Linked DNA regions of Cricetulus griseus. The protein of the gene in region 4 interacts with the protein of the main gene of each other region in a pairwise test. Links are inferred from orthologs where the notes say so. Each region holds a gene or a part of one and is shown on either strand. Other genes may lie near its edges.

What was found.
Region 1: the proteins of Trip10 (region 4) and Sh3bp1 interact in binary tests that used the Homo sapiens proteins (3 or more experiments, as listed by UniProt). The two-hybrid records come from large-scale screens. The link is inferred for Cricetulus griseus from reciprocal best matches to the Homo sapiens genes TRIP10 and SH3BP1.
Region 2: the proteins of Trip10 (region 4) and Arhgap12 interact in binary tests that used the Homo sapiens proteins (3 or more experiments, as listed by UniProt). The two-hybrid records come from large-scale screens. The link is inferred for Cricetulus griseus from reciprocal best matches to the Homo sapiens genes TRIP10 and ARHGAP12.
Region 3: the proteins of Trip10 (region 4) and Abl2 interact in binary tests that used the Homo sapiens proteins (3 or more experiments, as listed by UniProt). The link is inferred for Cricetulus griseus from reciprocal best matches to the Homo sapiens genes TRIP10 and ABL2.
Region 5: the proteins of Trip10 (region 4) and Was interact in a two-hybrid assay, tested with the Homo sapiens proteins (2 studies listed by BioGRID). The link is inferred for Cricetulus griseus from reciprocal best matches to the Homo sapiens genes TRIP10 and WAS.
Region 6: the proteins of Trip10 (region 4) and Arhgap17 interact in binary tests that used the Homo sapiens proteins (3 or more experiments, as listed by UniProt). The link is inferred for Cricetulus griseus from reciprocal best matches to the Homo sapiens genes TRIP10 and ARHGAP17.
Region 7: the proteins of Trip10 (region 4) and Htt interact in binary tests that used the Homo sapiens proteins (3 or more experiments, as listed by UniProt). The link is inferred for Cricetulus griseus from reciprocal best matches to the Homo sapiens genes TRIP10 and HTT.

Annotation. Positions count from the first base shown.
Region 1 is NC_048595.1:376,004,188-376,008,118, forward strand, and holds the start of Sh3bp1 (SH3 domain-binding protein 1), read left to right. Parts: upstream 1-1,131; 5' UTR 1,132-1,277; coding exon 1,278-1,336; intron 1,337-2,459; coding exon 2,460-2,502; intron 2,503-2,742; coding exon 2,743-2,847; intron 2,848-3,893; coding exon 3,894-3,931. UniProt on the Homo sapiens protein: GTPase activating protein (GAP) which specifically converts GTP-bound Rho-type GTPases including RAC1 and CDC42 in their inactive GDP-bound form.
Region 2 is NC_048596.1:208,325,457-208,329,738, forward strand, and holds the start of Arhgap12 (rho GTPase-activating protein 12), read left to right. Parts: upstream 1-1,482; 5' UTR 1,483-1,620; intron 1,621-4,282. UniProt on the Homo sapiens protein: GTPase activator for the Rho-type GTPases by converting them to an inactive GDP-bound state.
Region 3 is NC_048598.1:35,224,239-35,227,738, reverse strand, and holds part of Abl2 (tyrosine-protein kinase ABL2), read left to right. Parts: intron 1-1,598; coding exon 1,599-1,683; intron 1,684-3,327; coding exon 3,328-3,500. UniProt on the Homo sapiens protein: Non-receptor tyrosine-protein kinase that plays an ABL1-overlapping role in key processes linked to cell growth and survival such as cytoskeleton remodeling in response to extracellular stimuli, cell motility and adhesion and receptor endocytosis.
Region 4 is NC_048598.1:96,232,938-96,237,194, forward strand, and holds the start of Trip10 (cdc42-interacting protein 4), read right to left. Parts: upstream 2,801-4,257; 5' UTR 2,678-2,800; coding exon 2,654-2,677; intron 1,474-2,653; coding exon 1,358-1,473; intron 1,274-1,357; coding exon 1,217-1,273; intron 1-1,216. UniProt on the Homo sapiens protein: Required for translocation of GLUT4 to the plasma membrane in response to insulin signaling. Required to coordinate membrane tubulation with reorganization of the actin cytoskeleton during endocytosis.
Region 5 is NC_048604.1:114,563,753-114,567,849, forward strand, and holds the start of Was (wiskott-Aldrich syndrome protein), read right to left. Parts: upstream 2,801-4,097; 5' UTR 2,752-2,800; coding exon 2,620-2,751; intron 2,300-2,619; coding exon 2,159-2,299; intron 1,415-2,158; coding exon 1,328-1,414; intron 1,221-1,327; coding exon 1,118-1,220; intron 1,009-1,117; coding exon 967-1,008; intron 876-966; coding exon 822-875; intron 1-821. UniProt on the Homo sapiens protein: Effector protein for Rho-type GTPases that regulates actin filament reorganization via its interaction with the Arp2/3 complex. Important for efficient actin polymerization. Possible regulator of lymphocyte and platelet function.
Region 6 is NC_048596.1:77,348,059-77,352,230, reverse strand, and holds the start of Arhgap17 (rho GTPase-activating protein 17), read right to left. Parts: upstream 2,801-4,172; 5' UTR 2,664-2,800; coding exon 2,611-2,663; intron 1-2,610. UniProt on the Homo sapiens protein: Rho GTPase-activating protein involved in the maintenance of tight junction by regulating the activity of CDC42, thereby playing a central role in apical polarity of epithelial cells.
Region 7 is NW_023276807.1:103,884,181-103,887,680, reverse strand, and holds part of Htt (huntingtin), read right to left. Parts: coding exon 3,369-3,500; intron 1,738-3,368; coding exon 1,623-1,737; intron 1,507-1,622; coding exon 1,293-1,506; intron 891-1,292; coding exon 785-890; intron 1-784.

The DNA.
Region 1 (3,931 bases), on a different chromosome or scaffold from region 4:
CAGGGGCAGCTTCAGGGACCCCTCTGGGCTCCTCCCATCTTCAATAGGGTTTCTTTTGTTTTGCTTTCCGAGACAGGGTTTCTTTTTGTAGCCCTGGCTATCCTGGAACTCGCTCTGTAGACCAGGTTGACCTTGGACTCACAGAGAACCACCTGCCTCTGCCTGGGATTAAAGGCGAGTGCCACCACCACCGTGCTTCAATAGGACTTCTTGAACAGTAAAGGGGCCCACACAGTAGGTGCTCAAGTGGTATGGGCTCTGAACTGAAACTTACAAAGTGTGGTGCAGTGCTCAGGGTTTCCTGTAGCCTCCCCTCCCCCGGAGTCAGCGCGCTGTTGCCCACAGGCTCTCTTGCCCTGTAGTAACTACCGGTTATGAACATCTACTGTATGTACAGGCTGGTTTTCAGCGGCACGTTCCAAAAAGAAAACTTCTATTGGTCTTGAGGGTTCAGAGCAGCACCCCATACCAGTGAGTGCCTAACAAGAAGGAAGGACAGGGATCAGGGACTTTTGCCAGGAGGAATGAGAAAGAGCTTTACAAATAGAACCATCCAAGCTGAGGACCCTTAAAGTGGAGGAGATCTAAGGCTGAGGAGCAGGCCGGGGTATCTTGTTTACCCTGTGTCATGGGCTGGTCCAGGACAGTTGTCCCATCAAGCCACTATGAGGAACACAGTGAATGAGGAACTTTGGGGACCAGGTAGTCCAGGTTCCCAGCTAGTGGTCCAGCAGGCATGAGATATGGCCAGGGAATGGTATAAGGGAAGAAGTCTCCAAGGAGCATCCCCTAGTGACTAGCCTGTACAGGTCCTGAAGGCCTGTCCCTTCAAGGCACGGAGCCTTCTTTTCCCTTTAAGAGAGCAAAGGTTGTTTATACCCAGGGCGGCGGTGGCAGGAGCGGCTTACCTGCTTCCCGCCACCGGCCACCACAGCGGGGCAGGGTACGGGAAGGAGGAGCCGCACTCAACCTGCGTACAGCAGAGAGACAGACCAACAGACACTCGCCAGGCGACCGGTCGGGGGTCGTTGGGGCCCGGAAGCTGCGAAAGAGCGGGACACCAAACTTGGAGAGAGGAGTGACCTGGGGGCCGGGGGCGGAGTCGTGAGCGGGGGAGGAGAGCGCCAGCGCCAGCGCCAGCCAGAGGAGCGCGCCGGCCCAGGAAGCCAGAGCGCCGCCCACCCATCCGGGGCGAATCGCGCGGGGAAGCCGGCTGGGCCAGGGGCTGCCAGCCTCGACCCCCACGGTGACCCTTCAGCCCCCAGCCCGGACTCAAGATGATGAAGAGGCAACTGCACCGCATGCGGCAGCTGGCCCATACGGGCAGCTTGGGACGGTGAGTGTCACCCCCTTCTAGCCCTGCTGTCACCCAGCAGGACCTGAGCGGGTGCAGGAGAGTGGGGTCGGGGACTTCTGGTCAGCGGCCCCCTTGTATGCCAGAGCCCTGACCTCGCTTCCTGGCGTCTGAAGCCACTGTGGTCGCACAGGCACAGCTGGCCTTTGCGGGGAAAGGCACCTCCATTCCTCGTTGGAAAGGCTAAGGAGAGCAGAATGCGCCCTGAGCCTGGACGCTGCCCGGAGAGCCTCATTGGTCCCCTCCGGACAATGGGAACAGTTAACCACCTCTAACTGCAGGGTTGGGGAGGAACAGAGCCGATCGGGGGCCCCAGACCATGGAGGAAGGGACTGGCGGTGTTCTGGCTTGGGGAGGAGTGGCCTGCTCCGCGCTGGGTGTCCGTCCCCTCCCCCAGCCCAGGGGCCTCCTACAGCAAAGTCCTGCTTCTGCTTTTCGAAGGCTCAGGTAGAGGCGCTCTCTGGTCTCTTCGGTCCCCAGCTCCAGAACTAGGGGAGCGGAAGTTTGGGGAGTTTCTTGGAGCTTTTCTCTCTGCTCCTCTTCCCCAGCCTGGGAGTTCCCCATTCTTTGGGCCCAGAAACTTGACCCAATCCTTCAATGACATAGACACCTGCGTGCATATACGAAGCCAGGCCACTTTGCTGTGAACCCATGTGCCTATGTGTCCCTGGGCAGAGTCCCGGGACCTGTCCACAGTTGCAGTCCAATATTGTGCCTGTGGGCCTGACCACCCCGGAGGCCAGCTTCCACACTTCCCGTTCTGGGGGGCCAGCCTAGGCCTCCTCTTTCCGGGACAGGCAAACAATTTGGGGGATGGGACAAGGGAAACTTTGCCTCCATGTCCCAAAGTTGAGCCCTGGGTAGCTCCCTCCTGTCCTTTTGGTGTCATGGGAACACCCTCTCCCAGCACAGCCGTGGGTGGAGGAGGAAGCAGACGTGCATCCTCTAAAACCCATGGAATGTGCTCCAACTGCGGTGCAGACAGGCCACCCAAGCTTGGTGGTCCTGGAAACAACCCAGGCCCAGGTGCCATATGCAGGGGATAGTGGGAGGCAGTGTGTTTCCTAACCCAGAGGACTCAGCAGAAGCCCCTCTTCCCCCACAGCACCCCAGAGACTGCCGAGTTCTTGGGTGAGGACCTTCTGCAGGTACGTGCCTGGGCGGGCTGGGCTGGGCTGGGCTGGGCTGGGAGGCAGGTCTGTGCAGGCTGTCAGTATCGAGGCTGACAGGCTGACAGGCGGGGACAACAGTCCGGGCCTAGTTGAGTCATTCCCTGCTGGCCAGGGGAGCCCCAGGAGGGAAGAGAAAAATGATTCTTGCTCAGGGGGAGACAACAGAGCAATCACCCCTTACAGTCTACAGTACGTGTCCCTCCCTATGCCTCCCAGGTGGAGCAGCGCTTGGAGCCTGCTAAGCGAGCAGCCCATAATGTTCACAAACGGCTGCAGGCTTGTCTCCAGGGCCAAAGCGGGGCTGACATGGACAAGCGGGTCGTAAGTGGGGGTCACCAGGAGGAGGGGCCTGAGTGAGTGGTGAGGGATGGGGTGGGAATGAGGCTCTCTGGGTTTGCTACCAACCAGCACACCCCCAGGCCTTCTAGGTGGCTGGAGCAGCGTTTGAGCTGGATGAGGATGCTCACTCACTGTTACTCTACAGGCAGCATGTATTACTCCTGCCAGACTGTTGCTAAGATGGCTAACCATTGTCTCCCCAACAGCCCTGGCAAGTCTCTTGTATAAGTCACTTGTGTGTAATCGGAAGCCCAAGACCTAAATTTACTAACACAAGGTCACACAGCTAACAAGTGGCAAAAGTGACCCTGTGGTCCCTCTGATTGTAAAATGTAGTGTGTCGTATTCTCCAAACTCCAGGTGGAAGTAAAGGGATGTTTAAAAATTCCTATGGTTGGAGCTGGAGGGTTGGCTCAGCAAAAGCACTTGCTCCTGTAGAGACCTGGGTTGGGTTCCCACCACCCACATGGTTCACAACTATCCAGTCCCAATCCCAGGGACTTGGACAACATTGAAGTGTTCTGAAGTGCTCTGAAGGTAGCAGGCAAGTCTCTGCTTTCCCTTAGAAGGGCCTGGGTGTGAGGCAATAGGCAGCCTTGGAAAGTTTGAGCTAGGTGGTGGCTGGATTAGCCACCTATGCCCTGAGGTAGGGAAGGAGGGTCATCTTACCCCTAGCCACAGGCCAGCTCTTCTCTTTGCAATGGTGTGACCTTGTGACAGCTTCCTGCTCCCTCTCTCTGCTTGGTAGTTCCCTGGTCTTCCTGGGATTGATCATTTCTTCTTGCCTAGTTCGGTGAAGAGAGGGACCCTAGGTAGTAGGTGGGAGATCTTGTGTGTGAGTGTGTGAGGCGACAGACAGACAGACAGACAGACACACACACACACACACACACACACACCTCATCCAGTTTCTGAATGGTTGGCTCCTCCCTCTGCTGGTGTGTGGGTATGGCCAGGTGATCCCGGCTCAGGTTGGGTGGAGGAGACTGGTAAACTACGATTGCTTGCCCACCCCACCCTCCCTGCAGAAGAAGCTCCCTCTCATGGCTCTTTCCACCACGATGGC
Region 2 (4,282 bases), on a different chromosome or scaffold from region 4:
AGCATTACTGTGTATGCTGAACAATGGCATATTCTGTATATACTGAACAAGGGCATGGAAGAGGGAACATGTTAGAGACTGGGGGAGACCGGAAACATGATGAAAGCCAATGAAAGGGAATAGCAAATGCAAAGACATAGTAAGTCTTTTATTTTTAAACTCTCATCTTGAGCATCTAAGAGGAGAATTTGTTATAACATTAGCCGGGTTAGATTTAATAAGGATTATGAGACAGTTGTTAGAAACCTTGCCAACATCCCAATGGGGTTTATTTATTATCACTTAACAAACAATTGAGAGTTCAGCTTGTGCTAAGCTAGACATTGCTACATCTTTGTGGATGAAGCCAGAAAAGAGCTATATCCAGAACCTGGCTCTTGAGCCCTAGGCCGCCGGCTTTGCTTTCCCCTCTTCTCTGGTGTTGCTGAAATCTCATCTGGCCATCGTAACAGGCACAACCAACAAGTGGTTAATGAATGATTCCTGAATTCCCAATACTTATTATACTTTTTCAAAGTCTTTCAATTTTAGATCCGGAAGGTTTTAAATCAACACTCTTCACATGATAGTAGAGGTGCAGAAGGTTAAGCGGCACATAATGGCAGAGCCAGGCCTCAGCGGATTTTCATTCTAGCAACTCTCACCACATAATCACTACCCAAACCCTTCACTGTGGGCCACTTCCGGGTTCCACGTTGCCACACTGCAAACTTTGGACGATGACATCCTGGCCCACGGTGATTGCATTCGGCAGGCCCTGTGGGCTCAAAGAGCAGTCATGCCCTGCGTACTGCTCTGCCAGCACTGTGCGCAAGGTTCAGGCCACCACCAGTTCGGCATAGACCTAGTAGCTCAAGACCACCAGAGTTCCATTTCGTGCCAATATAAGTGCCGCACGTTCCCCCAGGGTTGCCAGCCTGTGGACCCGTGATCCAGGGCGCCATTAAGTCCCAGAAGGCAGACTCCCTGCCGCCGTAGCACTTTCCGTTCTCCCGTATTCCCACTACCGTTTTCCCAACACTTCCCACTAGATGTTTACGAAGTGTTGACACCCACTCGGCCGCCGGCTTCCGCGCCCTCCCTAATGCCTGCGCACCCCCCCACAAGCCTGCCTAACCAACCTCCCGGCACCCCGCCCAACTGGAACTCCGCGGCCATCTCTCCCCGCGCGCCCTTTGCTGCCTGGAGCCTGGCGCCCCGCCCACTCCAGCCGTCACGTGAGTCATCTGCGCTTCACAGCACTAACCCCGGGCCCCCACGTCACGTGACCCACACCATTCCTGCCCAACGACAACACCTGCCACGCCCTCACTGTATCACGTGGGTCCTGCGCCCCCGCCCCTTCTAAGGAGACACGCCCCGCCCTCTCAGCGGGCGCCCGGCCCCTGTCCATCACGTGACGAAAGTCACGCCCTCCCCTTAGAGCCCGCCCCGCCCCGCCCCGCCCCCGCGCCGGCGCGCTCCGACGTGCCCTGGAACTTACCCTCCCTCAGAGACCAGCCTGCGGGGACGCCCGGCGGTGGCGGGTGCCGATTGAGCGCTCGTCAGGTAGTCTCTCCGTCGCTCGGCCGCAACGCCGGCGGAGGAGGGAGCTGCCCGTCGCTAGGTCTCCGACCCTTGGTAAGAAGGCCGGGCGCGGGTTCCCGCGGAACGCACAAAGGCGCTCGGGGGCGCGGGCTTTGCCTGCGGAGGGCTGCGCTGGGGAGGGCGGCGGCCGCCTGGCGCACGGGGCGAGCAGGTTTACATGACCCGGGTCTCAGCCTGCGCTCCCGAGCTTCCTGCTTGCGGGCAGCGGGCCCTCGGGAGGGCGGGAGAGCCGGTCCGCCCTCCGCGGCTGCTGCCGGTGGACACACCTGCCTCCTGGGCCGCGGCGGGCACTGTGGACGCGAACGGCGCGCTCTCCCCGGCCCGGAGGAGTGCGTCTGCTGCCCCCGGCTCTGCTCCGAGATTCTCTTCTTCCGAGCCCTTGAATCAAAGAGAAACAACAGACCCCGCTGCCAGCGCGCTGTCTACCTCCCGTCTCGGGCGCTTGTTTTGTCTTTCCGGAAAGGCTGCCCTTGACACGTTGTGTCTTAAGTTACTGCAGACCCTCGCAGACAGAATGGCCACAAGGTGGTCATTAGAGAGAAAGGCACGCCCTTCACTTTCAGAGGCGGGTGATGTTTTCCTTTTTTCTTTTTTTTTTTTTTTCTTTTTAATTTTGCCTGCAGCAGCAGTTTAAAATGCTTTGCAAAGGCGAAAGTTAAATGTTTTTAGTGTATCATTTTTTAAAAAGTTGAATGCCATTCCAAGTGAAATGCCACCACGGGTAAAGGTTTTTAACACTGGTTACAAGGTTGGCCGTGTGTGGTTCAAGTTGACACGCGGAAGTAGATTTTATTGCCCATTTAGGCACACATTCCTAAAGGGAGGTACATTGGAGGAAGGAGCATTAACAAGGAGTCACCTGGGTTCTCATTCAGATTCTGCTGTCCGACTTAACAGAGGTGAGACCTTGGAAGACTCCGAATGTTGCAATGTGAAATTGTTCAGAGTGTCTAGCCTGTAGCAGTGCTTCTTTTGTACTTAAAGGTGAAAAATGGTGGCCTGGAGGTATTTATTTGCTCACGTCCGGTTTTACTTACCTGATCTCTAAGAGGGTGTACTGTGGAATGGATCATCTTTCCGTTTCTCCGCTGCTCTGAGTCTGGCTGCAGGTGCAATATTTTCTATTTTAAAATTGCATTGGAAGCCTTTCAGAACAGCTTTTGGAACCCAAAGCCAGAGGGGTTCGTGAAGGTATGATTTAGCTGTGCCATGGAAGAGTTAGGCCAACAGGGTGTACATAACTTTCCACCTTTTTCAGGTGTTTTTCTGTCCAGGAAACAAAGCATAATGCGCTCTCTCTCTCTCTCTCTCTCTCTCTCTCTCTCTCTCTCTGTGTGTGTGTGTGTGTGTGTGTGTGTGTGTGTGTGTGTGTGTATTTGTGTGTGTGGTCCTTAGTATTTATTGACAATCTCCTGTTCCTTATCAACCATAGGGTTGGAGACTGCTCATTGAGTCATGATTGACGCCACTTGTGTAGATTAGTTGTGGTTATATAATTATCAATCTTTTTTGAATATACTACTCTAGTTGTGAGGCATAAATAAAATATATAAATGTTGCAGAAAAGCTTATTAATTGTAATCATTTGGCTTTTTTAAATCAAAATATTTATCCAATGCTTTTAAAAAATGGCCTGATTAAAAAAATGAGCTTTGTAATTTAGGTCCTAAAAGTGCAAATGACATTACTGGGATTAACGGTAATAATTCTATTTATTTATTTTGAAATAGGGCCTCACTTTATAGCTCTTGCTGGCCTAAAACTCACTATGTAGACCAGGCTGGCTTTGAACTGACAGAGATCTCCCTTCCCCAAGTACTGGGATTAAAGGTGTGCACCCACCATGTCCATCTAAGAACAATAATTTTAAATAGACTAAAGTGAGATAGTGATCTGTAAAGTTACGACCTAGTATTATTTATCTGAGAAAATGGATGTTGCCATTTTGTAATAAACAAAAGAGAAAAGTGAAATTAAATTTCTATCACACTTTGTATTTAACAGTTTCAATCTTAATTAGGGGTGTGTATTACTAGAAGTCAAACCCAGGGCCTTGGCGTACTAGGTGAGTGTTTTCTAATAAAACCAACAACCCAATAAATATTATAATTATAAACACGTTCTATTCTGTAGAATAAGTCAGATGTAGAAATTAATTTTGTAACACAGGGATTCATTGTACTTTAGGTCACCATCAGTTGAAAACCCAAATATTGGACCACCATCTTTGTGATTCCACTTTTCTTTGGTTAACTGGTTTAGTTGTGCCAGAACCGAACCATGTGATTGAGCCTTTGCCTTGTTGCTTTCATAGACCCAGTGAATATCCTGTGGTTTCAATTTGTAGGTGATTTGAACTGAGCCAGCAATGGTGATGCTTCATCTGTTGACAATGCTGTTGACAGTCTGGGGCTTCTCTTACCCTAAAGTACAGGGTGGGGAAAAACTCTTCTAAGAAACCCCAGGTCATATGTGTACTGTTGGCATCCAGACCACCGACAACTGTAGTATCCTAGAAATGCACTGCCAGCTACCCTGTGATTTTAATTTCTAGTACTCATGTTACAAAAAAACCAAGTGTGCAAACTACATGTAACATAATTCTATTTAACCTAGTATATTAAAAATATCATAATTAGCATGAAAATTATTCTCATTTTTTGATTCACTTTCTGATAGAATGTATAGCTTATAC
Region 3 (3,500 bases), about 61 Mb from region 4:
AATTCATAAAAGTCCTTTTCCTGATCCTACTGTCCCTTTGAGTGTCATGGTATAAAATCATAGATTGTCAGTAATTCATATGAGATGTTCTCATGGGTAGTAGTCAGCCCTGTTTACATATTCTGAATGTGAAGGAAGCAGTGAGGCCTTGCACATGTGCTTTGTTCTTTAAGAAACATAGGATTGGGGCTGGAGAGATGGCTCAGAGGTTAAGAGCATTGGCTGCTCTTCCAGAGGTCCTGAGTTCAATTCCCAGCAACCACATGGTGACTCACATCTCTAATGAAATGTGGTGCGCTCTTCTGGTGTGCATGAAGACAGAGCACTTATGTACATAAAATGCATACTTCAATAAATCTTTAAAAAAAGCAACAAACAAGCCGGGCATTGGTGGCGCACGTCTTTAATCCCAGCACTGGGGAGGCCTGCATCTCTATGTCCAGTTTATACTTGCATTCTTGAAACTTTTAGGTTTCTTGGTGGGTCCTTGGAATTATAGCATAGAGCTGTAAACTATTTTCTTTTCCCTTAAGACAGGATCTCAGGTGGCTCCGTGGTGCAATGGATAGCACACTGGACTTCTAAAGGAAGACAGGGTCTCACTGTGTAGCCATGGTTGGACCCAGAGCTTGCTGTTGTATAGATAAGGCTGGTCTTGAACTCACAGAGATCTGTCTGCTTCTGCCTCCCAACTGCTAGTATTAACAGCATGTACCACTACACCTGGCTATAACCATTTATAAAGCATGATGTCAATAGCACAGACTTAAGTGTTAGACCATGTGACTTTAAGATTCTCAAGTAGGCTGGGCATTTGTGGCATACGCTTTTAATCCCAGCACTCGGGAGGCAGAGGCAGGCGGATCTCTATGAGTTCGAGACCAGCCTGGTCTACAAGAGCTAGTTCTAGGACAGCCAGCCTCCAAAGCCACAGAGAAACCCTGTCTCGGAAAACCAAAAAAAAAAAAAAAAAAAAAAAAAAAAAAACAGGATCTAATCCGATCAGTCTCAGCCCCTCTATTGTGAGTTGTAAGATGAGGCTGTTCAATTTTTTTATTTTTTTCCGAGACAGGGTTTCTTTGTAGGTTTGGAGGCTGTCCTGCAACTCTCTTTGAAGACCAGGCTGGCCTCGAACTCACAGAGATCTGTCTGCCTCTGCCTCCCGAGTGTTGGGATTAAAGTTGTGCGCCACCCCAGCTGAGGCTGTTGAATTTTGCTTACCCTTTTTATTTTTAGTCAAATGTCTGACACTGGATAAATTCAAGGACAGTATTCTTGGTCTCTTTTATTTAAAAAACATATTTTATGTGTATGAGTGTTTTGCCTGCATTTTAAGTTCACGACATGGGTGCAGTGCCCAGGGAGCCCAGAGGAGGGCATCAGAGTCCCTGAAACTACAGATGGTTATGAACTGCCATGTGGGTGCTGGGGACCAAACCCAGGTCCTCTGCAAGAGCAACAAGTGCTTTTAACTAATGAACCATCTCTCAGGCCCTTTTGCTTTTCTACCTGAAGTAGGCTTATGGGTTGACTTAAATGAATAAGAGGGAGGTTTGACCTCCTTTTTGTTTTTCTTATCTACTTTCTCCCTTTAACAGGAAGATACCATGGAGGTCGAGGAGTTCCTGAAAGAAGCTGCAGTGATGAAGGAAATCAAGCATCCTAATCTAGTACAACTGTTAGGTAAGAATCCCAAACCACAGATTTCCTCAGGCCCACGCGCCCACCCTAGTGTTTTGTTGTCTGCAGATTGTGTTTTTGCAGATTGTTCTGTTTTGTTTTAGCACCGTGGAAATGCTAGCTGTGCATTGACTGTATTAACGATACCATGAGCTGGGCATGCAGACCAGGGGGGAGCTAGTAAGCACCACGTTCTAGGCTTAGTGCCGCAAACACACACAGGGATGCGAGTGCACGCACATCCCTTCTCTTTTAACTAATAGACTCATTAAAACAAAAAACAGTGCATCGAGTTGATTGCTTTTTTTAAAACTTTTATTTTGTATGTATGCATGTTTTTCCTGGATGTATATGTCTGCAATGCCCAAGGAAACCAGAATAGGACATTGGATCTCCTGGAACTAGAGTTGTAGGTGGCCATAAGCCACCCTGTGGGTCCTGGGAATCAAAACTAGGTCCTCTGGAAGAGCAGCCAGTGCTCTTAACCACTAAACCAACTCTTCAGCCCCTTTACAATTTTTTTTTTTTTTTTTTTTTTTTTTGCTTAGTTTATGTGTTTGGGTGTTTTGCCTACATGTGTATCTGTGTGCTGTGGTGCCTTTGGAAGCCAGAGGAGGCATTGGATGCCCTGGAATTTCAGTTACAGATGGCTGAAAGTTGCCACGTGGATGCTAGGAATCAAACCCTGGTCCTCTGGAAGAGCAGCCAGTGCTCTTAGTTCCATCATAACTCCAGCCACAGACTGATTGCAATGTGTAAGCTGTCCAGTTTGTGCTTTCCCCAGGTTCATAGTTCACAAGCATTCAAGATGGCATCTAAAAATTGTCATGAAATATTAAGAGACTTTAAGCAAAGAACCACTGAAAAAAGTGAATTAAAACTTGTGGCTGATCAATTTATTAAAGCAGGAAATGAATATGCTGCAGTGGGTTATTTTTTTTTAATCTGTTTGTGCTACAAAGGAGTCTTTGATTAAATATTTTCCATTTTTAAAAGTCGGGCCTGTTTGGTTTTTGGCAAGACAGGGTTTCTCTGTCTTATCATAAAGTTGCTCTGGCTGTCCTGGCACTTACTCTGTAGACCAGACTGGCCCTGAACTCACAGAGATTCGCCTGCCTCTGCCTCCCTGATTAAAGTGTTCTGATTAAAGGTGTGTGCCACCACTGCCTTACTGGGCCATTTTCTTTGAATATTTAATTAAGCTAAGCTATGCCATAAGAAAATTAATATGGAATCTGCCATATGATAATGAAATCAACTGTGGAGACAGTTTTACAAAGTAGTTAGAGCAAGTAAGCATCAGCATAGGCCTAAGTTCTGTTACTTGTGATAACATGGTTTGCACACAGTTGAAGGGGCTGTCGGGTTAATGTAAGAAACTGCGCTAGGTGTGGTGGCGCACACCTTTAGTCCCAGCACTAGAGAGGCAGAGGTGGGCGGATCTCTGTGAGTTGGAGGCCAGCGTGATCTACAAAGCTACACGGAGAAACCCTGTCTGGAAAAAACAAACAAAAGGGGGCGGGGTGCAGATGCTGTGAAGCTGCAGAGGACAGCACGGTGAAACAGGCTCTTACTAACCTGTTTTTAGATTTTTGTTGTATTTATTTCATAGAATGTGGTGAAGATTGTCAAATTGTTCTTGGTCAGGTGTATGTACCCTGGAGCCCCCGTTCTACATTGTGACTGAATACATGCCCTACGGGAATCTGCTTGATTATCTCCGGGAATGCAACCGTGAGGAGGTGACAGCCGTTGTTCTACTTTACATGGCCACTCAGATCTCTTCTGCCATGGAGTATTTGGAGAAGAAGAATTTCATC
Region 4 (4,257 bases):
CAATCTATCCAGCTATCACAAATAACTCTCTTAATTTTTTTTTTTGAGTGAAAGTTTTATTAGACAGGGGAGGGAGGGGGAATGAAAGAGAAAAGAGGTAAAGACACAGGGGGAGAACAGAAGAGAAGAGGGAGACAGGAAAGAAGAGCAGGAAAGAGCAGAAAGACAACTCTTAATTTTTATATTGTGAGTTTTGGGATTAAATTTGGAACTTTTGGATTAAAACTTTTTTTTTTTTTACATTTTTACTAAAAATATAGTCTCACTATGTAGCCCACACCAGCCTGGAACTCACAACCTCTGGGTCTTGGCCTCCAGAGTGCTGGGATAATAAGTACTTGCCACCATACCCAGCTCACCTTTTAGATTTTAAGGGGAAGGGTTCAGAATGCAGTTTAAAGTTCCTGGAAATAACTACAGACTGGTTACCAGTTTGTTCATTTAGAAATCTGAGACAGGGTATCTATCATACAGCCCAGGCTACCCTCAAACTTAACTACATAGCTGAGGCCAGCCTAGAACCCAAGGGTGCTAGGATCACAGGTGTGCACCAACATGCCCGGTGCTTTTAGACAAATAAACTCAGTTCATCTTTGTACACACCAGCAAGAATAGGGACCACCACCATCAGACCCATTTTGCAGATTAGAACAGAGATAATTAAAAGTCACTGGCCCAAGCCTGGCTTAATGATACATGCTGGTCAGTCCAGCTCTTGGGAGTCCAGGCACAAGGGCTGCCTCATTAGTGATCAGTCCTGGCTACAGAGGGAGTAACAGAACAGCCAAAACCATGTCTCAAAGATAGAAACTAGGGCCAACGAGACGGTTTGACAGATAAAGGGGACAGGTAAAGGGCGCTTGCAGCTAAGCACGGTGACCTGAGTTTGGCCTGGGACCCACATCGTGAGGAGAGAACCGACTCTAGCAAGCTATCATCTGGCTTTGGAAAATGCCCCGTGGCATATGTAGGTGCACCTCGCTCTCAAAATTAAATAAATAGTAAAAGTAAAAAGCCACTCTCCCCCAATAACTGTGCTAAGTTGACAATTTATAAACCCAAAAGGATGCTCTGCTGGGAGTAAATTTCACCCCAGGTCACCCAGACTTTTAATGGGAGATGGGACTGGAGGTGCGGAAATGGAGTCCTCTGGGAAGGAGAGGGACCCATGCCCAGCTCCCGCACCGCCCCTTTCCGAGTCTTATCCCATTCTTACTTGACTTCGGGGTCATCTTTGGTAGGTCTCTTGGGAAGGTACTTTTTCACCAGGCTCCTAAGGGTGGGGACAGAGGCAGGGAGGCTTGAGAACCTGCCGGATCACCGCGGAGCCCCAGCAAGCACCCACCCTAGCGCTCACCGGAGTTGCTTGGCATAAGCCTGCTCCACCTCTGCGCGTTCTTTCACGAACTTCACGTATTTGTCCAACAGATCCAGCCCCCACTGCGTGTGGCGTTCCAGCACCTCAAACTGATCCTGATTCCAGGGGAGTGATTGGGGAGGTCAGGGTCACCTGGAGGGAGCACCGAAGCCCCAGAGACCAGATGCACGAGAGGGTGGGGGCGCACAGGCAGGGGGTGGGACACGGCACAACCTCGACACAACCTCGTGGCTCGGCGGTTCCAGCAAGGACTGGCTGGCTTCCCCAGGCGCCGCCCCGGCGTGGCGCAGGGGGAGGCAGGAAGCTGGCGGGAACCCCCATCTCCTCCTCCCGGGAAGGGCCTGGACAACAGCGCCAGGGCCCCAAACCGGACGGCGGGGTCTCTTGGAATCCGGGTGGCCAACGAGGGTGTGGGAGGAGGCTAAGCTACTCCAGCTCCCTCCGAACCCTCTAATCCCCCAAATTCCGGAAAATCAAGCGGGCTTGGCACATAAGACAGGCACAGAAGGGAAGGGTTTGTGCAGCTCAAAGTGCGTGGAAGGAGGGAACCTCAATGGCCAGATTTCCCCATTTGCCACGATCCCCGGGGTGTGACTCAGTTTCCCCCGCTTCTGTGATGCCTCCACTACAGTGGCTTGCCTCCACTACACCCGAAGACTCCACCGCCTCCAGAAAGAGGAGGGGTCAATAGTCCAACAAGGATTCAGGGAAACTTCTAGGGCTTCCTGGGTGAGGTTAAGTGGCGGGTAAGGGGTGGCTCCGCCCAGCCGAGTCCTGCAGCCCCCTTCCCCTCCCCCTCAGCGTCCCAAGCCCTTTAGGGCAATTGCAAGCGGGGAAGCAACCGAGTGAGGCCCCACGTGGGAGAGAAGGTGACCAAGGGGCCCCCCTCCCCCTCCCAGCCGGGCGGCGGGCAGGGACCCAGGGGCCGTAAGATTAGCCTCCAAGCCAGGCCAGGGCGCTCAAAATAGGTGACCTCGCCCAGCTGCCCCCCCCCTTCCTGGCCTGGTCTAGGGACTTCTTGTGATGGCCTCACTCTCAACTCTGTGACTCAGTTTCCCTATACGGGTCCTAGGCAAAGTATCCCTAGGGCCCTCTGAGCATCTAGAAAGTCCCCAAGGAACTTTTGAGAGAGTGCTGAAGGCAGAAGGCGGGGACCCGCAGGATCAGCTGCGAGGGAAACCACAGAGTCCCGGCAAAGGTACATAGGGGACAAAGAGCGGAGAGGCCAGGACCCCAGCAAGGGAGAACCGTGTGAGCTGGGAAGAAAGGACTCACCCACAACTCGGTGCCCCAATCCATGCTCGTCCTGCCGCCGGGGACGCCACCACCTCCTGCCGGGGTCCCCGCCACCCTCCACCAAACTCAGCCCCAGGGCGGTGTGCCCAACCCCGCCCCGCCCCGCCACCAGACCACGCCCACTCAACCAGTGCGCCACGCCCCTTAGCGCTTTGCCACGCCCCTGCCCCGCCGAGCCTGGAGCGGGGAGCCCTAAGGGAGGAACCCAATGAGGCGGAGCTCAGCGAATGTTCCGCCCTCTCTTAAAGGGCTCTGGACCTCCTTAAAAGATGCCTCGATTTACTTTCCAGTCTGTACCCTGATATTACTCTCCTCTGCCATCCCAAACTATTCATCCTTTCCATTTAACTTCGCATTTCTTACAAAGGATCAAAATATCAAAATCCCAAACCCACTCCTCCCCACCACATGGCAGGGAAAACCTGCGGTCGGTCACTAGGCTCTTGCGGGGGCCACCTAGGCTCCAGAAATCTCCATTTCGTTTCACTAATGGTCTGGTTCCCTCCGGCCACAGAGCAGATGGGATGATTTCGATCCAGCCCTGGACGCACCTCCAGCTAATGCCAGGTCCATTAGCGCACCCCCACCGCATCCTGACTTCCCTTCCTCCCCGCCAGAACCTCCTTTGAGAAACTGAGGACAGGCTGCCCTTGGGGCCCCAGTTCTGGACTAAACACACACACACACACACACACACACACACACACACACACACACACACACACACACAGCTCGCACTTGCACCTGACTGCCCATTTCCCAGCCCCATTTTCTGAGGCCCAATCAGTACTGCGTACCAGATTCTTAGGTGGCTCCCGCGCCCACCCCACCCCATCCCACCCCCGCCCTAGCGTAGACCCTGGGGCCCTGGGGCTCAGAAATTCGGTCCTCCCAATCATAAAGGTCCTTTCACACCTTGTAAATCCCCTTGAGGCTCCCAGATGGAAAAGAAAAAAAGGCCCTGGTGGCTCCCACCCCCGCTCTCCTGGGCCGTAGGTGCTTTCTCCGTTACTGCAGAAATACCTAAACACCCCTCTGCTGCTTTATCTGGAAGAGAAGCGCAGTCCGGACTTTTGAGGAAAAATGCCCTGGAGACCCCACTGGAACGGAGGCTCCGGTGAGCATTAGCCCCACCTGCTGGCAGCTTGAAGGATAAGCTCGCACACGCAAAGCCGAGTGGGGGTTGGGGAGAGGGGGTGGAGGAGGGGTCCGAGGTCTGATGAGAATAAGCTATCAGACTGGGGTGGCGAGTTTAGCGGCGGGATCAGCTATTTAGTTAAGAGTTGAAGACTATCTACAGCTGGGGTCCAGAAGCTGGGACTCTTCCAGATCTGGGGGCTCAGTAGAAGATGGGCGGGGGGGGGGGGGGGGGGGGCTGGAGAAATGGCTCAGTGGTTTAAGAGCACCGACGGCTTTACCAGAGAACCCCGGTTCAAGTCCCAGCCCTCACAACTGTCTGTAACTTCAGCATCTGACACCCTCACAAAGACATACATGCAGACAAAACACCGATGCACATAAAATAATAAAGATAATCAAAAAAAAAGATTAGGCGTGTAAAATAGGGTGAGGTGCCTAGGATC
Region 5 (4,097 bases), on a different chromosome or scaffold from region 4:
ATTTTTTTTCTTTTTGGTGGCTGGAGAGACAGCTGTGGGTGCTGGGAACCAAACTCTTATATTTTGGGTTGTGAGCCTAGCCTTTAACGGCTGAGCCATCTCTCCAGCCCTATTTTTTTAATTTTTAATTTTATTTTATATATTTTTTTTGGCTTTTCGAGACAGGGTTTCTCTGTGTAGCTTTGGAGCCTATCCTGGCACTCGCTCTGGAGACCAGGCTGGCCTCGAACTCACAGAGATCCGCCTGCCTCTGCCTCTCAAGTGCTGGGGTTAAGGGCGTGCGCCACCAACGCCCAGCCTAGAAGACAATTTTAAAGAGTAGGTTCTCTTCTATCTTTGTGTGGATTCTGGGGATAGGACTCAGGTCTCCAGGTTCAGTGACAAGTGCTGAGCCAGCTCACTACCTCTCATTTCTTTTTTTCACTATCCATTTACATACCCATTCATTAATTCACTGGACCATCCATTCATTACTTGAATACAAGTAAGTATTCACCCATTTACCCAAATACCCACTCACTTATTTATCTATAATCTATCATCAGTTCATCTTCCAATTTACTCCTCTATCTGCTGCCAATCCATCAACATGCTCGGCTATCCACTCATCCACCCATCCACCTAGCCAGCCATCCACCTCTTTACAAATTTAGGCATTCATGCAACTATTCATTCATCTAACTCCTCACCGTCTCTCCAGGGACATGAAAAGCACCACTCGTTGGAGGCCAGCCTGGTCTCCAGAGGGAGTACCAGGATAGACTCCAAAGCTACACAGAGAAACCCTGTCTAGAAAAAAAAGAAAGAAAACCACCACTCACCACCCTGGTCTCCGCCTGGATGTGGGGGCAGAGGTGGGAGGCCTCCTCTTCTCTCTGGGAAAATGGAAGAAGTTAAGATGTTACATTGTTGCCACAGGTTTCTGGCTTAGTTCCTTATAACAGCTACATGAACTGGAGGACTCACCTTCATTGGTTGGTGCTGGTGGCGGTGGTAGCTGGCGTCTTTCTGTGGTTGAATAGGTAGACTGAGAGTCAGAACCACAAGAGGGGCTCTTCCAGCCTCACCTCACATGTCTAACTTATCTCCCCAACCCCCACCAAGGGCTTCTCCTTACCTCCACTTTGCCTCTGATTCCTTTTTTGTATCTTCTCCTGCACCAAAGCCCTGAAGGCCTGGGCTTCACTCTCGTCCGAAAAGTTCAGTCCTACTTGGCAGTCCTATATATGCCTTGGGGTCAGCAAACTTCTAGCACTCCCTACCCCCCAGGCTTTCTCCTGGCCTCCCCACACCCCAACTGCAGCCCAAGGCTAGGCTGCTCACTTACATCTCCAGCAAAGGTGTGGAAGAAGGGAGTGGGAGTGAAGTAGACCAGCTGTGAGTACAGCTCCTGTTCCCAGAGTAGCCGACCAGCCTGGAGAGGGGCAGGGTGGGGGACATGCTGGCATGCAGGCACTGTGGGTGGCAGACTTTTGTTTTCTGATCAGGGAGTGTGGTGTCCAGATTTGGTGTCCTAGAGTCTTATTTAGAGATCGTCAGCTCAATAGCAGAATTTGGGGTCTAGGTGTCTGGTATGGGGGATTGGGAGAGAGTCTTAGAAGCTGACACTGATGTGAGAGATCTAGGTCTGGGATTTGAGGACCATTTGTAGGAGTTGAGGGCTCAACGCCGTGAATTTAAGATTCTAGGCCTACAGGCCGGGCGTTGGTGGCTCATGCCTTTAATCCCAGCACTCGAGAGGCAGAGGCAGGCGGATCTCTGTGAGTTCTAAGCCAGCCTGGTCTCCAGAGCAAGTGCCAGGATAGGCTCCAAAGCTACACAGAGAAACCCTGTCTCGAAAAACAAACAAAAAACAAAACAAACAAACAAAAAAAGATTCTAGGCCTACAAATATTCACCATGTTGGATTCAGAACAGATTTGAGGCTTCGGCTCAGGTAGAAATGTGGTGTTTCAGGGGAGTTTGTGGAGCTGATCAGGACCCTGGCATGGGCCTTCTGAATTCAGTCATCTAGGACTCCAATGAGAAAACACAATTTGGGATTTGTATTGGTCTTTGGCTCTGGAGTTCTGATGGGAAAAAGGGCTTGAGGCTACGGACAAAAACTGGTTTTGCAGGTTGGAGACTAGCTTTTCTGTCCAGTGGGGCATTGGGTCACCTGAAGGCCATAGAGGCGAATGAAGTAGGACTTCTGAGGGTTATCCTTCACGAAGCACACAGCCCCGCAGTGTTCCATGGTCCAGTGCTCAGCTCCAGGGGGCAGTGCCAGGTACAGCTGAACAACTGCAGTGGCCAGTGTCTAGGATGGGACAGCAGGGGGTCACTGGAGTCTGTGCACGGGTAACCAGGCCTGGCCCCTGCCTGCTTGAGGCTGTCATGAGCTTGGGGGAAAGAGCTATAGCCAGGAGGAAGGTAGATATCAAGATAGTCCTGGGATCCACAAACTGTGGTAAGTGGATGCTGGGAGAGGAGATGGGGGAAAGGGAAAAGAGGGATGATGGGAAGAAGAAGGAGCAGGGATGTATGGGTAAGAGGAGAAGGCAAAAGGGGGAAGAAGAGGTAGAGAGGAAGACGAGGAAAGGGAGGGAGACTGGGAGGACCAGGAGATCCCCAACTCACCCAGCATTTTCGGCCAAGCAGCTCAAAGAGTCGCTGGTTCTCATGGTCCTGGAGGAGGTTGGAAGGAATGTTCTGCTGAACTGCTGGTCCCCCTCGACCCCCAGGCCTGCCTCCTACAGGGCCACCACTCATGGTGCCTTCTGCCCTAGTCCTCTTCGGCTAAGCTCTGGGTGCAGGGTAAGAAGAGGAACTTCCGCAGTGAGCAAGGGAACAGGAAGTGCAATAAACCACAAGGGAAACAAGTCCTCCAGGGGCCCCCAGAGGGCCTGTCCTCCTCGGTAGAACTGACTGGGGCCATCCTCCATTTGCCTAGCTAGAACCATGTTTGTAATGAGCTCAGGGATCCTTTCTTCCTTTTCTTTCTCTTCCCCCCTCTCTGTCCCTCTCTCTGTCTCTCTCTTGCCATTTCCTTCTGACAAGCTCAGATCTCGCTCTAGTTGGTGCTGAGAGCTAAGCCATCTGCAGCACTTCTACAGGGTTCGCTGCTCAGAGTAGTCACAAGGCTGTGTCATCTCCTTCTTCCCTAAAGCACCAGTCTGGCCTGGGGTTGAGTCCAAGGCTCCAGGTGCTGAAGGGTCATTGCATTACAGCTTTTCCTTGCAATGGCGCAGTGACCCCATCTCCAGCCTTGAACATCGCCAACAACATATAAGCCCATGGCTTACTTCCTCATCATTTACCCTTGCCTCCTGTAGCTCCCTCTTTACTTTCTTCTGATCAACCTCATTCTGTTTTGTTTTGTTTTTTGTTTTGTTTTTCGAGACAGGGTTTCTCTGTGTAGCTTTGGAGCCTATCCTGGCACTTGCTCTGGAGACCAGGCTGGCCTCGAACTCACTGAGATCTACCTGCCTTTGCCTCCCAAGTGCTGGGACTAAAGGCGTGTGCCACCAATGCCCAGCCAACTTCATTCTGGAAGGAAGGACTTCACAGTATAAATAAATTCTAAAACAACATCTTGATTGCTTTTTTAATATTTGTTTTATTTTTATAATGTATTTAACTTTATTTTAATGTGCATTGCTGTGAAGGTGTCAGATCCCCTGGAACTTGATAGTTTCCAGTTGCCATGTGGATGCTGGGAATTGAACCTGGGTCCTCTGGAAGAGCAGACAGTGGTCTTAACTGCTGAGCCATCTCTCCAGCCCTTGATTGATATTTTTAAATTATGTTGGGACTTTTCAAAAGTATGTAACCTTTGAAGGTTTGATTTTCGCCACTTTTGGTGATGAGAATTGGATACAGGATCTTGCTGAGCAGTGGTGGTACTCGCTTTAATCCCAGCAGTCTGCAGGCAGAGGAATAGGATCTCCGAGTTCCAGGCCACCCTGGTCTACAGACTGAGTTCTAGGACATCTAGGGCTGTTACACAGAGAAACCCTGTCTCGAAAAAGAAAGAAAGGAAGGAAGGAAGGAAGGAAGGAAGGAAGGAAGGAAGGAAGGAAAGAAAGGACCTTGTCCATGCACCTTCATGTCCTCTA
Region 6 (4,172 bases), on a different chromosome or scaffold from region 4:
TGCCTACATGTCTACTGAGCAGCTCCAGGGCAGAAATCTCATATTTATCTGATTCTTTAATAACACTCAGTGGTGTGGCAGTGTGGCCTCAGTGTTCACTGAATACCTGACTCACTAAACATCAGGTGGGCAAAAACAACTACTCTTCTTTAGGGCACCTACATCATAAGACCACTTAGTAAGCCTTGCCCACACCACCAATAGACTCATCCATCCTCTGTACACAAACTGCATCATAACAGCTCATTCTTTCTAGGCACTGCTAATCCTCCACTTACTGGTGCTATGAAACTTCATGGTGGAGTTACTCACGAGCCATTCCATCCTACAGGAATACCTCACCAGAAGGTACCATCTACAACTCTATACACTGATAAACAAACAGTGGGCATTCACATATATAAATTCCTTCTCTATACAGATCACAGCTGGGAGAAATCTGTGCTAGAAAAGATCTTTACTCAAATACACCCGTATTTGCTTCTGGTGCCTATCAATCATCTGGCTCCATTCAATAATAATTCTCAGGTTTGTCATCTATTTTTCTTTCTACCCCTTAGGGTTACTTAAATAGGAACACACACACACACACACACACACACACACACACACACACACACACACACAGGAGGAGGGAGGGAGGGAGGGAGGGAGGGAGGGAGGGAGGGAGGGAGATATCGAGATCTAGGAAATCAACAGCTAGAGAGCAACAGGTTTTCTCCCCAATAAAAACAGATGTTCTGACTTGAGTCTCATAGCTGCCACACCCTTAGAGCTCTGCAATAGCTGCAGCTTCCACTGGCATCTAGCAATAAAGATTTTCAAAGAGTCAAAGGTCAGGGCCGGAATTACTGTCCCAGTATGAATCACCACCACTCTATCCTGTTCACATTTTCCCAAACTTAATACCACAGCACCAGGCAATGTAGTAAGAGCTAGACTCCTGAAGTTAACAATTTCAACAGGCTATCTGTCATGAGATAGGAGTCACAAATCGTGGGAACCAAAGACACATAGGAAAGACACTCAAGAGTGCTTAGTCAAACAACCAACACACACAGGTAAAGAGGGAGTTTGAGTCTAGAAAGCAGGCAGCGTATGGTATTATGCCCCAAGGACCTTCATAGGGCACAGAGACTATCACTGAGAGACCTGAAGAATGAGAAAGAGGTAGCTATCAGCTAGATGTGGTGAAAAAGGCTTCCGGGATGTCCAGGAAGAGAATAATACAGAAGAAACACAGGCCTCCCATGGAAACTGAAAGTGGGTAGGTATGGCTGGAATGTAAAAGTAGGAAGGGAAGCTAAGGGGAAGCAGGAGCCCACAGAACCCTACAGAGCTTTCAGCAACTGTCCCTTGTACCACACAATACAAAGCAGTCTAATAAGTAAATAAACAGCAACCTAACAAATATATCTTGGTATTCACTAAGTTTTGATTCTGCCATGCATGGCTGAGAAAGGGGTGCACAACTCAGAAGAAATTATTTCTCATAATGTTTTTCATTTGAGCCATTGGGATTGTTTGTCTTGATCTTCCTCTTTCTTTAATTCTACAAGCAGCAGTAAAGTAGGCATGTCTGGGTTTAAGGGGCAGGGACTGATTCTAGATAAAGGATAATGCATACCAAAATTACATGAGTTATTTTTGTTGTTGTTGTTTGAAACTCAGTAACAAAACCTAGCAAAAAGTTGAGGGAAATGAAACATTCTAAAAAGCAAATTTAGAAAACTCAAGAGGAAGTAAAAGTATTTTCCTACATATACAAAAAAAGAAGTGTCTCACGTGCTTCAACCAAACCAAACTCCCCTTAACTGCCAGGGGAGGAGAGAAAGCGTTAGAGCTGTGAAAAATTCATCTATCTCCGTGCAGAATAAACAGCAAAGTGGTTCAGCACAGCTATCTGCCCTGCAAGACCTTGAAATATTTGTTACAGTTAGCACAGTACATGACAACAGCCTCCTGAAGCTCTTAAAAACCGCAAATCGCTCCTGTTCCACAGCCTACTCATCTACAGTCTCTCCTGTATCTTTTCATGTAAAAAAAAAAAAAAAGAAAGAAAAAACAATGTTTCCTATCAAGCACTCAAGCAGTATCAAAGAAACAAAATATCTGTTTCCGCATCCAAGAGGAGAAAAGACATCCTTTTCCCTTTCCAAACTTGTAAACGTCAAGAACTCGCAACAAGTTCCCAATAGCCTGGATTTTGAGATTGCACGTCTCTATTCCTTCACTGGGAGACTGAACTTCATTGGCATTAACACCCCTCCAGTTCCCTGTGACCAGCAAGCTCTTCTGGAGGAAGGCTGCAACAGCGGGTCGACTGGGAGAGCCTGGGAACGCTGCCCCCAAAGCGGCGCGCCTGGCACTGCGTTAGGAACACAAGTTTGCGGAGTTTTCGCAGCAGGCGCCAAGCTCGGGCTGGCGGGGACAGAGAGGAGTAAGGGCTCGCGTGGGTCCCCCGAGGGCGATGGTCCTTAGGGCAGGACAATGGGCAGCGCTTAAGCCGCAGCTTGGCGCAGACCCCCGCCCCGCTGGCCCAGGCCCGGCCGCGCCCGGCTCTCCCCGTTCTTCGGCTCCTCGCGCGCAGGACCGCCCTCGCGCACTCGCCTGCCGACAGTCTGGTTAGCCAGCTGCTTCATGCGGTTGAATTGCTTCTTCATGGCGGCGGCTGCGGCGGCGACAGGCCGCGGAGCTCGGGCCGGGGAGAGCTGGGGACCGTCTGGCGGCTCCTACATCGTTTCCCGGCCCGAGAGGCGGCGACCGAGGCTACAACTCGGGCCCGCCCTCGCCGCGTCACTTCCAGGGCTGTCGCCCGCCCCTCCTGCTCGACCGAGTGGGGCCGAGCGGAGCCGAACAAGGCCGAAACCAGAGAGGTGGAGTCAAGAAGGTGCGATGGGTGGAGTTAAGCCGATCAGGGCGGGAACCAGCGAGGTGGGTGGGGCCGAGCCGAACCCGGGCGAAACGAGATAGGTGGAGCTGAGCTGGACCCGGCCGGGCAGAAACCAGAGAAGTCTTGCGGAGCAAGACCACCAAAGCTAGGCGAACTTTGGGGTGGAGCCGAACTAATCGTCGAGTGGAGAGGGGTGGAGTTGAGCCAATAAGGGATGGACGAGCGTGGCTCCCCCAAGAAGGGCGGAGCCAAACCTAGCGGGGCACCTGGATCCCCGCGGTTCTTAGCGTGAGCCCTGCTGGAAGCAGCGAGCTGAGCCCAACCTGGGTTCTTACTCTAGTGGGGCCAGCTGGAACGCGGGTGAGCCTTAGTAAATCCCGGCTCGGTTGCTCAGGGTGGAACACAGACAGATGGTGCCTCGCCCAGCCGGACCCCAGAGCCGAGCCAGTCTGGAGAGGGAGTAGCCGGACCAAGCCAAGCCGAATAGAAAGGGTGTTCCTACTGGAGTGAGGCCAAGTCAAGGGAGTGCGAGCAGAACCTAAATCTGGTTAAAGCTAAGCCGAGTTGGTGGGTCAGACCAGAGTATATCCTAGCAGAGCAGGAGTGAGCCGAGCCAGATCAAGCGGGGTGAACCAACCCTTCGAGGAGCTCCAGGCCCTCAACACCCGCACACCTTGCCCTCTGTCCTGCACAAAGGGCAAAGTGTCAGGAGAGAGTGTGTCATGAAGGCTCTTTTCAGGAGCTGCTTACTGGTCCATGGGAAAAGCTAAAAGACTAGGATCAATCAGATGAAGGCCACCTACAGAGTATACACATAGGCCCACAGCCAAAGGAAACTGGTCCTTACCAGCCCCTGCACTGATGGGTCTGAGTCCCTGCTGCCTTAAATGACCATAGGGTTCTGATTCCTAGCCCTCGCAGACACAGTGGAGAGGGGAAACTTGGTGGGATCATTTCACATTGCTCTAACTGAACCAGGCAAATTTTATGACCTGCAGCCCTGGCTCTGTGTAGACAATATTCCCTGCATCCGGTGGACTATGGCTTCCTTCACAAGCTATGTGATGGTTTAAAGTGTCAACTTGACAGGATCTAGAGACACCTTAGAAACAAATCTCCGCGCATGTCTGTCAAGAATTATCTACATTAGGTTAATTGAGATGGGAACACCCACTCTAAATGTGGGCCACAGTGTTGCATCATCTGTGACCCCAGGCTGTATAAAAAGGAGAAAGCTGGCTGAACCAGGAGCATGCAAAGCCTTCTGCTTTCTGACTGT
Region 7 (3,500 bases), on a different chromosome or scaffold from region 4:
GATGCTCCAAGTATGGCTCAGACCACAATTAGGGTATGAACTTTAAAAGCCAAAGGTGACACCTAGACTTTTCTTTTGCTGCCCCGATTGATCCAGGCACAGGGTAATCTTTGCCACTATGAGGAGAATAATGCAGAGTTGTGGGAAATCCCTGTAAAGGAATAGCAGGAAGAGGGTAGGGTGGTGACACTATAGGAGAGTCTTTCCACATCAAAATGCTCCAAGAACTTTTCACTGTTACATGTCCTAATATCAGAGCACTACTGTCAACCAGGAGTTCTTCTTTCTATCAGATAAGGACCCATTATGTCCTATTGATTCTTCTCTCAACATTCAACACTTGCCCCTTACCTACATCCTGAAAGACAGCTGACCTAGAACTATCCCACTAATGCACGCACAACTGTGGTGTACAGCTGAAAAGTGCAAAAGTAACTCAGACACTTAGCTGTGTCTCTGCCCAACCAAGGGTGCATTCCTGTGAATATGACCTGAGCCCCACCACATCACTTGGGCACACTCGCAGGAGTGTTTATTTCCTCAGCAGTGGGATCCATGAGGACAGTGGCATGGCTGTACACATGCATGGGCCCAGTTATCCCTGAGTTTGGCTACAAGTGGTGCTCTGTGAATATACATTATACACATTGGAAAAATGGCCACAAGCTGCATTTTAAAGTTTAAGAGGATGAACATATACACACAGATGCAACTGCTCTGGCTTTGGCTCTAGGATAGTCAATGATTATTGAGGTTAGAGGTGGGGCTGTGTTGCATTTCTTACCTATCAAAGAGAACAGATACCCGCTCCATAGCAACGATCACAGACTCACTGTCAGGTGTAGCAGGGCTAGGGTCAGAGGTTCTGCCTGGACTGGCTTTTTCTTTTCCTGAAACAGAAATACCCAGGAAGCTATAGGATTGAAACCCAAGAGGCTTGAAATCAGCACTCAGTGACTCATATAGGACTTGGCCAGATAGAAAGAGATCCTTCAAAAACAGGTGATTAGTCTCTAGCAAGGTAGGGTGCAGCTCAACTTTCTTACAATTCTCAGGGATGCAGTGGCCAGAGGCAGCTCTGATACCTATACATGGTGGTGTCATGTGAGCTGCTCTCTTTCCTTGGGCCCTAGAATTTCTGGAAATGTGACAGGGCTGGTTTAGGGCCACACTAAGGCTGCCACACCATGAGGTCTGGCTTGTGTTCCTGAATATGTTCCTGCTTTACTTCTTAGAAGCTAGGCCAGGCACAGTGTCCTTTGGTGAGTCTACAACCCTTACAACTTGCTCACCTGTGTACATGCAGGTGAGCATCAGGCCTAGGGCTGCCATGGCTCGGTGTGGGCTTTGTACATTCACTCTGTCCACACTTAGCTTGACCAAAGACTCTGTATCTAACCGAGAGAGCTGCTCAGATAACAGGAGACGCTCCAGACCCCGGAGGGCACAGTGGTAAATGATGGAGGGGGTGGATTCCTCACTTCCAGACAGCATCACTCCACACATCTAGACAAGAAGAAAGGCTTGTTTGTTCTTACCCTCTCAAAAGCACAATGACCCACTGGTTCAGTACACAAGGAAACCTGCCCATGTCCAACAGAGCCCATCCAAAGCCCTCTCACCTGTATCACAGATGCTGAAAATTCTGGCCCCACATCCAGAGGGTAGTTTTCCATCAGATAGAATGCAGTGGCACACATCACCAGCACGTGCTGCTGGCTATGAATGTTCACGCAGCTGAGAATGGGAGACAGTAATCATATCCAGTCACATACAGCAGCTCCTGGCTGTCTGCAGTGGGGACAGTTTTAAAGCATATCCATCGTGTTTATTAAGTACAGAGCCTTGGGCCATGCCAGCTTCTCCAGGACTTTTCTCCTGGCTTGCCTGGTGACTACACTGTTTCCAGAGCTGCATGGCCTCAACTTGATACACTACCCCAATACTGTACCTCTCTAGGCCACTTCACTGTCCCTACAGATCTTCATGCTCAAGATGCATCCTTAGAGTGTCAGTTTGCTCCATGTGTGGTATGTGCCAACTTGTAACACTCTAATTTATGGGATCTCCAGTTGGTATCTGTTGCCAACAGCAACAGTAGGGACCTGGCTAGCATATGAGTTAAACCAATGCCACCATAAACAAAGGAGCCACACACCATTTCTTTTATCCTTTCAAATGTGTTCAAATGACACCGTCACTCCTAGGAATTGGCCACTGTTTTGTATGTGACATGGAACCCTCTGCTCAAAGCACTAAGCAAGATATACTTATTATCTGACTGGGCACTGCAAGCTCCTCACAGCCACCCCAGTCCTCTATGCCCTCTTCATTTCTCAGCAGATTGTGCTTGCCCATAACATGCTCAAATCTGCTCCAGGTCAGGATCTAGAATCACAGGGATAGTGGGTGGTTGTCTGCTTACCTTGCATATACATGTAAGCTACTATTCAGTAAGGACTACAGGGAAGAAAGTGCCTTCCTACAAGCCACTGTATCTGTTCAGCTCAATTTGCCACTGCCTGTTGGGCCCCTGAAATGCACTTCTGCTCACCTGTCAGAATGCTACCTCTTCATAGCAGCTATGTCTGTCAGCCTAAGACCTCACCATTTCCAAACCTTTCATTTAACTTTACTCTCCATTTCTGTCAAGAACAGCTGGATTTTCCTGCAAGTCCCTTCTCATCCCTAACACATGCCCCAAACTTCTCAGTGTCCAGCTGTGTGTCCCTCCTTAGGTCACAGCACACCCCCCCCCCCTTCTAAAACAGAGCTGTGATGGGCTCAACTTGTTTTCAAAAGGACCAGCAATACATCCATGTGCAGTTACATGTAATGCATCTTTATGGGGAGACAGAGATCAGAGCAGGAATAAAAGGGCCTCACAGGAAACATGGGGCTGCTCAGAAGCTAAAAAAGAGGCTAACTCTGGTAGCAGAAGATAAGGTTGCTGTCCACTTCAGAGTACTCAGTGCCACTGTAGAGTGATGCAGTGGCAGGACTTTTCATCTTGCTAGAGATAACCAAGAAAGCTTTGGACATACACTTGTATCCTTGTGTTTCATGGCTACTATTTCCTAAAAAAGGTACCCTCTTGGGTTCCCTGCCTGTGACCTACCAGGACCTGGCATATACTTTGTTACTGCTTTTGAAACAGGATTTCATCTGTAGCCCTGGTTGTTTTCAAGCTTATGTCAATTTTCCTGCCTCAGCCTCTCAAATGCTGGGATTATAAGCATGTCCTACCATGGTAGTTCTAGCATATACTTGGAAAGTCAAATAGGGCCCTTTTGTTTTATTTTTTTAGTTTTGTTGTTGTTGTTAAGACTACACCAAAGGCTGTAGCCCACCCAGCCAGCCCCACTCACTGGGCTATTCCTTTGAGGTTGGACAGCAGATAGTCACTAACAACTGGAATGAGCTGCTTTGCAGTGTCATCCAAGAGGTCACACTCCAACACGTAGAGGATGCCATGCAGGGCTCCGATCTGGCTGGGGAGG